Drosophila melanogaster: one gene and its partner. The protein of the gene in region 1 interacts with the protein of each later gene in a biochemical or structural test. Each region holds a gene or a part of one and is shown on either strand. Other genes may lie near its edges. The genes, in order: nmo and pk.

Region 1 (5,149 bases):
GATCACACCGAAGTGGAGTACCATGCCGCCAAAACCGGTCACACCAAATTCTCCGAATCGGAGGAGGAAAAGAAGGCGCTCACCGAGGAGGAGAAGAAGGCCCAGCTGGCCCTCATCGAGGAGAAGCTCAAGCAGAAACGCATCGAACGCGAGGAGCGCGAGAAAATCGAAGCCCTGCAGCGGGAAAAGAATCGCATCAAGTCCGGCAAGGACATGACCGAGGCCAAGCGGCGCATGGAGGAGTTGGAGATGAAGAAGATCGTTGAGCAGCGCAAGCGCGAAAAGGACGAGGAGAAGGCGGCCCGCGATCGGGTAAAGGCTCAAATTGAGGCGGACAAGGCAGCACGCAAGGCTAGGTAAGGATTAGCCCTATCCTTCCACTTCATAATTCATTATAATTCATGGTATGCAGAGAACAAAAGGAATTGGGCAACGCAGAGCCAGCTCCATCCGTGAGCTCCACCACAGTTTCGTCACCACCGGCCGGTGTGAAATCTCCGCCGCGAGACTACACCGAAACCCGCATCCAGGTGCGCCTGCAGGATGGCTCAACACTACAGGAAACCTTCAACGTCAAGGAGCAGCTGTCCGCCGTACGTGTGTTCATCCAGATGAAGACCGGCATCGAGTCGCCCTTCTCTCTGATGACCACCTTTCCGCGCAAGCTGTTCGCCGAGGACGACTACGAGAAGCCGCTGGAAGTGCTCGGCTTGGTTCCATCCGCTGTCATCACCATGACCAAGACGCCCGCATAAATCTTTCCTACAAACTGGATATATTTGAATCCGGGTAATCTCTCCCATAAACTAGAACCTAAATACGAAAAAAACGCGGCGCGAAATATACCCCCCCCCCCCCAAAAAAAAAAAAAAAAAACAAGAAAAACAATTAATGTACGGTTTTATATATATATTAAACACAACAATCTCAAATACAAGTAAAGTTTTAGAGGATCTTTGAGGGCAATTATTAAATTTCTATTGAAAAGCGATGCTAACTTTCCAATAAACTTTTTTCCTTAAATTACAATAGGATTCAATTTCTATGGCTAATGATTGGTCCTGTAGTTCCTACATGAAGGGCTTCACAAAGTTCTTGATCTTCTTAACGCTTCGCTCGGCGGGTCGAATGTTGAGGTGCTGCCCGAATATGGTGAACTCCATGTTGCCCACTTTCATACCAAAGACGCACTCGCTCTTGGGTATTGTGCGCAGCCGATGGTCCTTGCCGAGCAGTTTCAGCACGTTCTTGGTGTCCATGACGCAGATGCCAGCCAAATTTTCCAGGGTGGAGCACTTGGACTGCAGCACCTTCATCTTGGCACCGTGCAAGTCCAGTTTCACCAACTTGCGGCTGAACTCGTCGTAGCGAGCATCGTGCACCTGGGGCACCTCGTCACCTTCCCTCAGCTCCAGATGCTCGCGTACATAGCCCTTCCACAGGTGGTGCAGTGGCAGTGCCTCCTCGTACTTCATCTGCTTGGTGGGAAGAGTGTTCAAACCAAGTGCCGCATATTCCCGGCGACTCAGCGTACTGGATTTGTGGGCGCGACGTTTTCGGGAGTGCTGCTTCTTGATCTTGGTGCCCTCCAGCATTGTGATGTGATCCGGATTGATGTTAACATTGCAACGCTGGTGCGGAATCACCAGATCTGAGATAAATTCCCTCAATTCACTTGTCGCGTGTTCCATTGCGTTGTTATTTAGTTTTATTTATTTGGTGATCAACAATATATCGATAGGCGCGGAACTCTATCGATGGAAGAAAAGGCGATATATTAATATTATTTTTTCAGATGCATAGCTGCATGTGCACTTCGTATAATACAAGCTAAATAATAATTATTGCTATTAATTATTAGAAACTGTATGTACCTGCAATTTTTCATATTCAACGCTGCAATTTAAAAATAACGTACATTCGGGGCAATCTGGCGTTGCCATCCTGCTTTTGCATTTGAAATGTCATAAAATACAAAAAATACCAACGAAATAGAGATGGAAATAGATATAGTGCGGGCACTCTAAAAACATCGATAGCCAAACCTTGAATTAATATACGAGTGGAAAACATCGGACCTATCGATGTTTCTATCGGTGGCCGACCACCTCTAGCAACGCCGAACATATGTTTCAAGTCTCTCTCAACTTTCGAACGGAGCGGAACGTCGAGCGCACGAATTCGGAATTATCGTTGAAACAAACGTCGCCGCGTGTGATCGAAAATCCAAGTTAGGCTCATTCGTTGGGAAGCTGCGAGGTAATCAAACGCCAACCGACGACCAACATCCGCCCGCCCCCCTTTTAGCCACGCCCCGCGGCCCGTGTGATAACAAAGATAATGCAATAAAGGGCAACCGTAGAAAAAAAGCTGTGAGAGAGCCAAGAAACGTGACCCAGGCAAAATTTTGTTTGTTTGTCTGGCTCTGCATATACATGTACATAGTTTAAACGTGCGTGCGATTGTGTATGCGCGTGTGTGTGAGCAGCCGTCGCGTTAGTAGTAGTAACACGCCAAACAACAAAAAATTCATCTCGCGTTATTTACAATAATAATTAAACAAAATTACAAAATTGTTTCCGTCTCGCCCGCTAGTTCACTCTCTCTCACACACACACGCACGAATATTACCCCCGGCGCGTTTTACTTCCATCTCGCTCCCACAAAGGCGGAAGAGTTAAACACAAAAAAAAAAGAAAAATAGAAAAGAAATTATAAACGAAAAACTGCCACCGCCGCTGCTCAATAATTTGTGCATTTTTTAAGGTAATTTAAAGTGAAATGGAATGTCTTGTTTGCATAGGTTAGGTTTAATTAGTCCGGAAAGCTAAGCGAAACCCTGGGAAATATTACATATCCCCGGGCGAATTTCTTTTGTCCCGTTACTTTTCGATTTTCATGCGAGCGTTTTTTGATTGCGTTCATTTTCTGGCGACTTGGGGGTGCTCGCCATTGTTTGGTTTTCAACATTTGTAAATTTGCATGAAAAGTCGGATTTTAAGTGATTTTTGTGTCTTTTGAGCGGCTTTTTGCGCAGGCAGCGCAGTCCGAAAATCACTCAGAATCGCACTCACATGCGCACACACTTACAATTGTAATACACGGACGCGCCCCGGTCGCGACAGCTAACGGCACTTTTCATGTCCTCTCGCGCGCTCTCTCTCACTGTTCTCCTCTCTTCTTTCTTTTTGATTCCTGTGCAGCATCATTTGCCACCAAAAATTCGAAAAGCAAACAAAAGTAACGACAATTAAAGTACAGTGAATAATACCAAAACCGGATTAAATTAAATCTAGCTTTTACAGAATATACAAAATATTGAGCCTAGTGGTAACTAGTAACTAGTGGTCGAATAGGAAATCAATTCTCAATAGTTTTCTTGCGTACTGTGAAAATAAATCAAGATTGTAAATTCTGTTAGCAACGTTTAAATTATTCACAATTCAACTGTCTACAAATGATTATTTATCCACTTCACTCCGCAGTTTCATCACAATGTCCTCAAATCTAATTTAAATAAGTAAGAAGTGTAACAAGCGACACGCAGCGAAACAAATAGCGCTGAATAGAGGAGCACGCCAAGGCAAACAGCAACAAATGGCCAACAATTGAATGGCGGCCATCAGTTGGCCCCAGCGGCATCCATTGAGCAATCAACACCATTTCTCCCACATCAAATCAAGCACCACTTCCAGCAACACCATCACCTCAACCACCTCAGTCACCACCGCCGTCACAGCTTTGGGAATCAGAACCACAGTCCAAGACCCAGTCGAAACCACCACCACCACCAGTAAAAGCCACAGCCTAGCAGGACCACAACCACTGAGCTCCATCGCCAACAAATACCAGAACCGGGTGCAGCTGCTCGAATTATTTGGAAAACTTGCCGCGTAGTCCATCAATGAGCGTTTCGATGTCACTGGTACAGGGTGGTGCTGCCGGTGGTGCGCCACAGGGCGCCAGCGCAATCTTGGCCGCAGCGGCTCCCTACTATCAACCGCCGGCTGTTCCCCAGGATGTTCAGCCGGATCGTCCTATCGGCTATGGAGCATTCGGAGTTGTCTGGTAAGTATAATGATTCTATATCTCAGTGCAATAATCCAGATTATGGGCGAAGGGTGTTGCCATAGTATTGGTACAATCAAATTTTTTCTTGGTTTAGCAAGCATGGTTATTTTCGGGTTGTTTTGCTGGTTGTCCAAAGACATCCCGCCGAAATGGGCAATTATATTTGAGAATTATAAGACAATAGGTGGTATAGAATGCAGAAAAGGGTGTATTAACGTCATATCCTATTATATGCTTGTGCCCCTTAAAGAATTCATGTAATGATAATTTGTAAATGATTTCATTATAAACACATTCGGTTAAAAAGTTGTAAGACCGACTTCGAATCCAAATGTTAATACCCTCCTGTCAATGTACTTTTATAATTCAAATATCTAAAGATTAAACAGTTGTTCTTTGACTTGAAAAAGTCTTTGTTCTATTCGAAGAAAGGGTATCTGCAGCGTCGTTACTTTGCTGTGCGATTTTATGTCACGGTCTCGCCGTGGGTTCAGCAACCTTCTGCTTAGGCCTTTGATTCTGTAACCCTTTTGATTGTGTTGCTGCTGTTGATGTTGATGTTTTGTGCAGCGGGCAACGTCAACATCCTCGTACTCATTTCGATTCAGAACCTCAGTCCCGGGTCTCAGCTAGCTGTCCTTCATGGTTTTGTGCCTTTGTGCAGTTTTCAACGTTGCTGCGGCCCCCCGAGGGTGGATTTTTCCTATAATATATTTCTTACCCTAAGCGCGCTGGCTGGCTGACTGGCTGGCTCTCCGTGTTTTGGCCTCCCTCCCCCCCCCTCAATTTGGACTTTTCTATTTGCCCATCTCCTCGTTTATCGGCCTCTCTCTGCTTTTTTTTTTCTATCCCCTCGACTCTTTTGATTTACATTTGTGTGCAAAATTTTACATTAATGGTTGCTTAAATGGGGTGAGCATTGAATATTTGTTTGTTTACTGGGTAAAGTAAAATATCTAATATGGATTAGCAACATTTTGTTATCAATGTAACCGAAAAGCTGCAAATCTATCAAGCAAATGATTTTAACATAGCACAAAAAAAGGTGGCAATATGAAATCATCATATCTATTTATTA
Region 2 (4,965 bases), on another chromosome or scaffold:
TAGCCCTTTATGGGCCAACAAAATTGCCCATTTCACGAGAGGAATGCGGGCCCACACCCCGCAACCCCCATAATGCTTAATGGCGCGCAAATGTGGGCCGGAAAAGTTTGGAAGCCGACTTCGATTTGAGCTAGCTTGCATTGATTTGATGACACTTTGGGGCCCATTCGATTCCGCTAATAAACGAACCACGTCCAGCCCCCTAAACTCCAGCCATTCCCTCCCAGACTTGGCGTGTCTAAAAGTTGTCTGCACCTTGGGGCTGCTCTTTTGACGTTTCCTTCCCAAATGGTGTTTGATGAAATGTGGCAACGAATGAGGCCGTTATGCTTGCAATTAGCCAAATTGATTTTTTGATAGCGTCAACGCTATCCAACTATAATCCCCATTCTTATACTCAATCTTATTTTGGCCCTTATTAGACTCAGCTAATTGCCTTCGATTTACATTTTCGTTTCAGGTAAGCCAAGCGCAGAAACCTACATAAGTATACGTATTGCTGGACAGGTCTTTGATGCCCGGCCCCTCGGGAGCTTCACACGCCGCCGATCCACAATTCAAAATGCCATAAATCATGCATCATTGAGGCATCCCAGGTTGTGCAACAAAAAGCGGCACGCAGAAACGTAGTGTTTCCGTTCACACTCAGCTTCTAATTAGCCTGCGCTGAGATGGCACTAATGTGCGGCCTAATGATCTCCAGTCGGCAGGCAATGATGGTGACCAACTAACATGGTCAGCTGGAAATCAACCTTGAACTCGTCAGATGGCCAACACGGTTGACATCGCACTTTTTGTCACTTCAAGCCCACTTTGCAATGTGGTTGGGAAATATTTTTGCTTTCTGACAAGAGATATTTCATCACTAAGTACCGGCTTTAAATGTAGCTTATGTTATATTTTTGGTCACATCTAATTTATAAAAACCACTCTTAATTACTCAAAAGGGTTTGGCCAAATCGTATTTCACGGTTACCATATTAAAAACTCTTTTGGGTACCCTTCTAGTGTTTTAACTGTTAAAGTATGAAAATCATTTTAGTACGTATTCTTTCGTGTATGTGTGGTAATCAGCTCTTCTGATGCACTTCATTACTACATGCAGTTTTTTCTTACTTAATTATTTTAAGTTTATTGCTCTTTAAACACCATTAATTTACAAGGTGTTTATTACTTAAAGTTAATTATTTAAGATTTGAACAGCGCTGCCATCAGAATACGGCTGGATATATAACTACTAAATTCTTACATCCATGGGAAGGTAGATTACGCAATTCACTATTTATGAACACGAGGCATTCTATGTAAAAGCCCTATTATTGTCCCATAGAGTCCTGGAAAGTTCTTCAGATACTTCAGCATCTAGAATTTTAGAACCCTATATTGTTTGCAAAAAGAAACAAGAAACTTATATTTCTACATTAGACTTAAACGATGAAATATTAGGAACTCAGATTCTACAGAGAATCTTACGCGCAAATCTACATGTATATGATTCTAAAAATGCGTAGTAACGAAGCATACTTTTGGGATGGTAGTGTAAGCAATGGAGCTATCAAACAAGTTCGATGTTGCAGTTGCGGATTGAGTTGCAGCTTATGATATTTGGCGTTTTATACAAATTTAGACAATTTTAACGACGAAATCGGAAACAAATTACTATAAACTATCTTGTTATCGTTAACTACACTTAATAGTGATAGTATTTTGGCAGCTCGTTGAAAGAACACTAAAGCAAGAAGTCCCACGAACACCTTACCTTCATCGAACACGATCCACAGCCTAAGATCAAACCACACAGAAATCCACATCTGGGCAGGTTCGATCAGTCTGAAAGCGTCGTCAGTTGCGAGCGGTTTACATCTGGCAACAGGTGCGGGTTAGTCGTCGCGTAATCCGTCTGAACGATCGATCGATCGCGCGCTCTTCGGCTATGTCGATTTCGGTCCACGTTATCTTGCGCCAGATCTGTCGTTTACCGTTTTTCAGCCAGATCGGAGCAAAGTGCACAAAAAGCTGCTAACTGAATTCGCAACAATTGCAAAAAATTGACAAAAGTGAAGTGCAATCCATAATCCAGAGTGGTCCCTATCAGGGCCAGCTAAATAAGTCTGGCATAGTGTTCCTTCCTGGGGCCAAGTGAATTAATGCAACAATTGGCCTAAGCGCTCATTTACGCTAAATGCTCGGGATAAGCCACACGGGCAAGTGAGATGTGATTTAAGCCATGTTTTCGCCTGATGATTGTCAACGCAGCTCGTTTCGTACAACACGGATACCAGCTGATACTCAAACTCAAACTCCTTCACTGATACAAACGCTTTCGTATTCGTATTCAGATACAGATACAACTGACAATAAAATTACATTAAAAATCAAATGAAATTCGAGGCCGATTGATATGCGAGGCACAGACGTCGGGCCGGCTGCTTTAGCGCAATATTTTTATGGGATTATCGAAGGTCGAGAATCTGTTAGCCAAGGTGTGTGGCTGATACTTAGGAAACGAAAGACTTGAGCAACGAACTTTGGATATGCCCGGCCCGTCGGTGTAATGGCTTTCATAAGCTTATGCACATTACACGTCAACTGAAGTGCTCAGCTTGATTTATTTAGATGCGTTAAGTTTTAATCGCCATTCGCAGCGCACTTTCACCAACTTGCTGCAGCCTCGCGGAATGAAGTCATAACCAAATAGGCTTACGACCCGCTCCAGCACATAAAACATGACTCGTCTAGCCATAAAAACACTTGCCAAAGCCCGAAATATTTTGATTACCGCGCACAGCTCTTGGCTTTCTCCGCCGCTTGATCCAATTAGTTTTTGGTGGGCCATAGTGCAGATAAAGCTGAGGATCTACGGATCTGGTGATCCAAAGCAGCTGCCACCCACAGAAGTGTAATGAAACGGGCTTACATGGCGGCAATGTGTCAACAATGGCTTGTTAGCAATTGCTTTTCAGTCCCGTGTGTGTGTGTGTGTGTCTGTGTGGGCTTCGAACACCTCATTGACAAGAGACATTTGACTCGAGCTGAACGTGTGTGTGGGCCGGGGTTGAAATTTATCTCCGATTTCTAATTGCCTGACATGCCAATTTGAATTTAAAGCGCACCGATAGTGGTTCTGCGGCGCATTCCTCCGCGGTGTATGTACATAGCCCAGGCACGGTGGCCATAAAGCACCAACGGAACACTGCAATTCGCTCTGGTCTTTTATGGCCCGGCCAACTAAATCAATTTTCGCACTGCGGCTGGCTTCGATTCCGGGCTTTATTGAGAAATTCTTCATAATTATGTAGCGTCGGCCGGCGGCGGTTCGAAATAAAACTGTTGTTTATGGCCGAGTTGCGGCAACTAGTTGGCTCAATTATGGAGCTGCTGCATCAACTTTCTCCCTCACTATGGGCCAACTGCCACGGCTGCTTAACCCCAATCGACGCCTCGAACTGACTAACTAACTAACTAACTGGCGTGTTAATTTGTTGGTTAGTTTACTCCGCACGCAGCCATCTAGCCACAATTGCCGGAGCATGAAGGCAAGATGCTCTGGCTATCTGGCTGTCGGGCTATCTGAGATACAAAGCAGCTAAAGATTCCCGCCTCGGAATAGATTGGCCACTTTACAGTTATCGACTTGGTTTTGTTAGCATAACAAAAGGTCCGAGTGGGTCAACAACCTAACTTCGTTATGTCAATCTCTGTGTCTGTGCCCCACCATTTGCATATTACACATGTCTCACGTCCATTTAAAGACGCAATTAACGAACCATTTCCCAGCTATTCATCATTGGCGAGCGAATTTCGGTCTGTAAATTAATTAGGCCCCGTTATGAGCTTTTGAGGCGGGAAGTCGTAAATAAGTATTGGATCCGTCGATGGACGTATGCAAACGCCAATTTGAACTGTCATCCTGTCAGCTCGCGTTAGTTTCCCAACCATCTTCCAGGCAGATAAGAACGGGTTCCCCGGAAAATGGAGCAACGTTAGCTGGCCCGGCCCGCTCGTTTCCTCTCACTCAACGCCATTTGATTGGATTTGACATTTAACACGAGTGCGCTGCAGATTAGACCGGCCAACTGCCTACCGCCCACAAGGTGTCCATTTTGGCGGCGTGCCGACTCGATTTTCATTTCACTTTGTTTTCCACGACATCGAACGATTTTCGAGATGCGATCGGGTTTTATGTGAGCGCAATAAAAACTTGAAAAGGAATTCCATTTCTGCTTAGAGCAATCAATTTCGATGGCGACAAAGACGTTTAGCACCCCGCTCCACCGATAAGCCAGGCGTGAGATTATTATCCGACCCAATGAAATATGAGGCCCAGACAATGGCTCATTAGATCGCCGGGCTTTCGCCCAAACTAGTTTGGCTGGCGGACCTAAACTGTGTAATTATTACGGCCTGGCCCAGCCGTAGCTTTCAGAGGCTCAAATTATAGTTTGGCAGTAAAATAGACAAACAAGTTAATCCATTAGCGAGTGAGACATCCCGCCTGACTGCCAAACAGAACCGGAAAGAATCCAGCTCTGAAGACCGCTATTGGGTGCATATCTCTTATTGTTTATATTGTCTCCCTGGCGGGATTCGTATGGTAATATCGGAAAATGTGCCAGCTGCATAGGCCCATCCGACTGCATAATAAATTATGAAATTTTACAGTTGCAGCCGCGCTGAATGAGTTGTCACGTCTGCGGCTTTCTAAACCACTTAGGTAGGCAGTGATAAGTCCATATATATGTCAGATTCTGTGGCGCTGAATGGGGTTCTTGATAGCTTGATAACACAATTTTAACCCGTTCAAAAGAGACTTTCCGGGCAAATGCGGCTCAAGTGGGCGCAACACTAAACACAAAAGGTTGAGTGCTGCGGTGAACGGCTTAACTGCGCGTTGGGAAAGTAAACCAAGACAAAGCAATTGACTTTTTAACCTGCATTTCTGTAAATTACACTCCGAGAAAAATC

Evidence for each region.
Region 2: of the proteins of nmo (region 1) and pk, one has a biochemical effect on the other in vitro, tested with the Drosophila melanogaster proteins (one study listed by BioGRID).

What each region holds. Positions count from the first base shown.
Region 1 is NT_037436.4:7,976,915-7,982,063, forward strand, and holds the start of nmo (nemo), read left to right. Parts: upstream 1-2,131; 5' UTR 2,132-2,259; exon of another isoform or gene 2,260-2,595; 5' UTR 2,596-2,766; intron 2,767-3,485; 5' UTR 3,486-3,904; coding exon 3,905-4,068; intron 4,069-5,149. Other genes in the region: CG8209 (uncharacterized protein), read left to right, coding at 1-356, 413-755; POP4 ribonuclease P/MRP subunit, read right to left, coding at 1,071-1,691.
Region 2 is NT_033778.4:7,185,406-7,190,370, forward strand, and holds the start of pk (prickle), read left to right. Parts: upstream 1-1,827; 5' UTR 1,828-2,208; intron 2,209-4,965. UniProt on the Drosophila melanogaster protein: Acts in a planar cell polarity (PCP) complex; polarization along the apical/basal axis of epithelial cells. Correct expression of the alternative isoforms is required for PCP signaling in imaginal disks.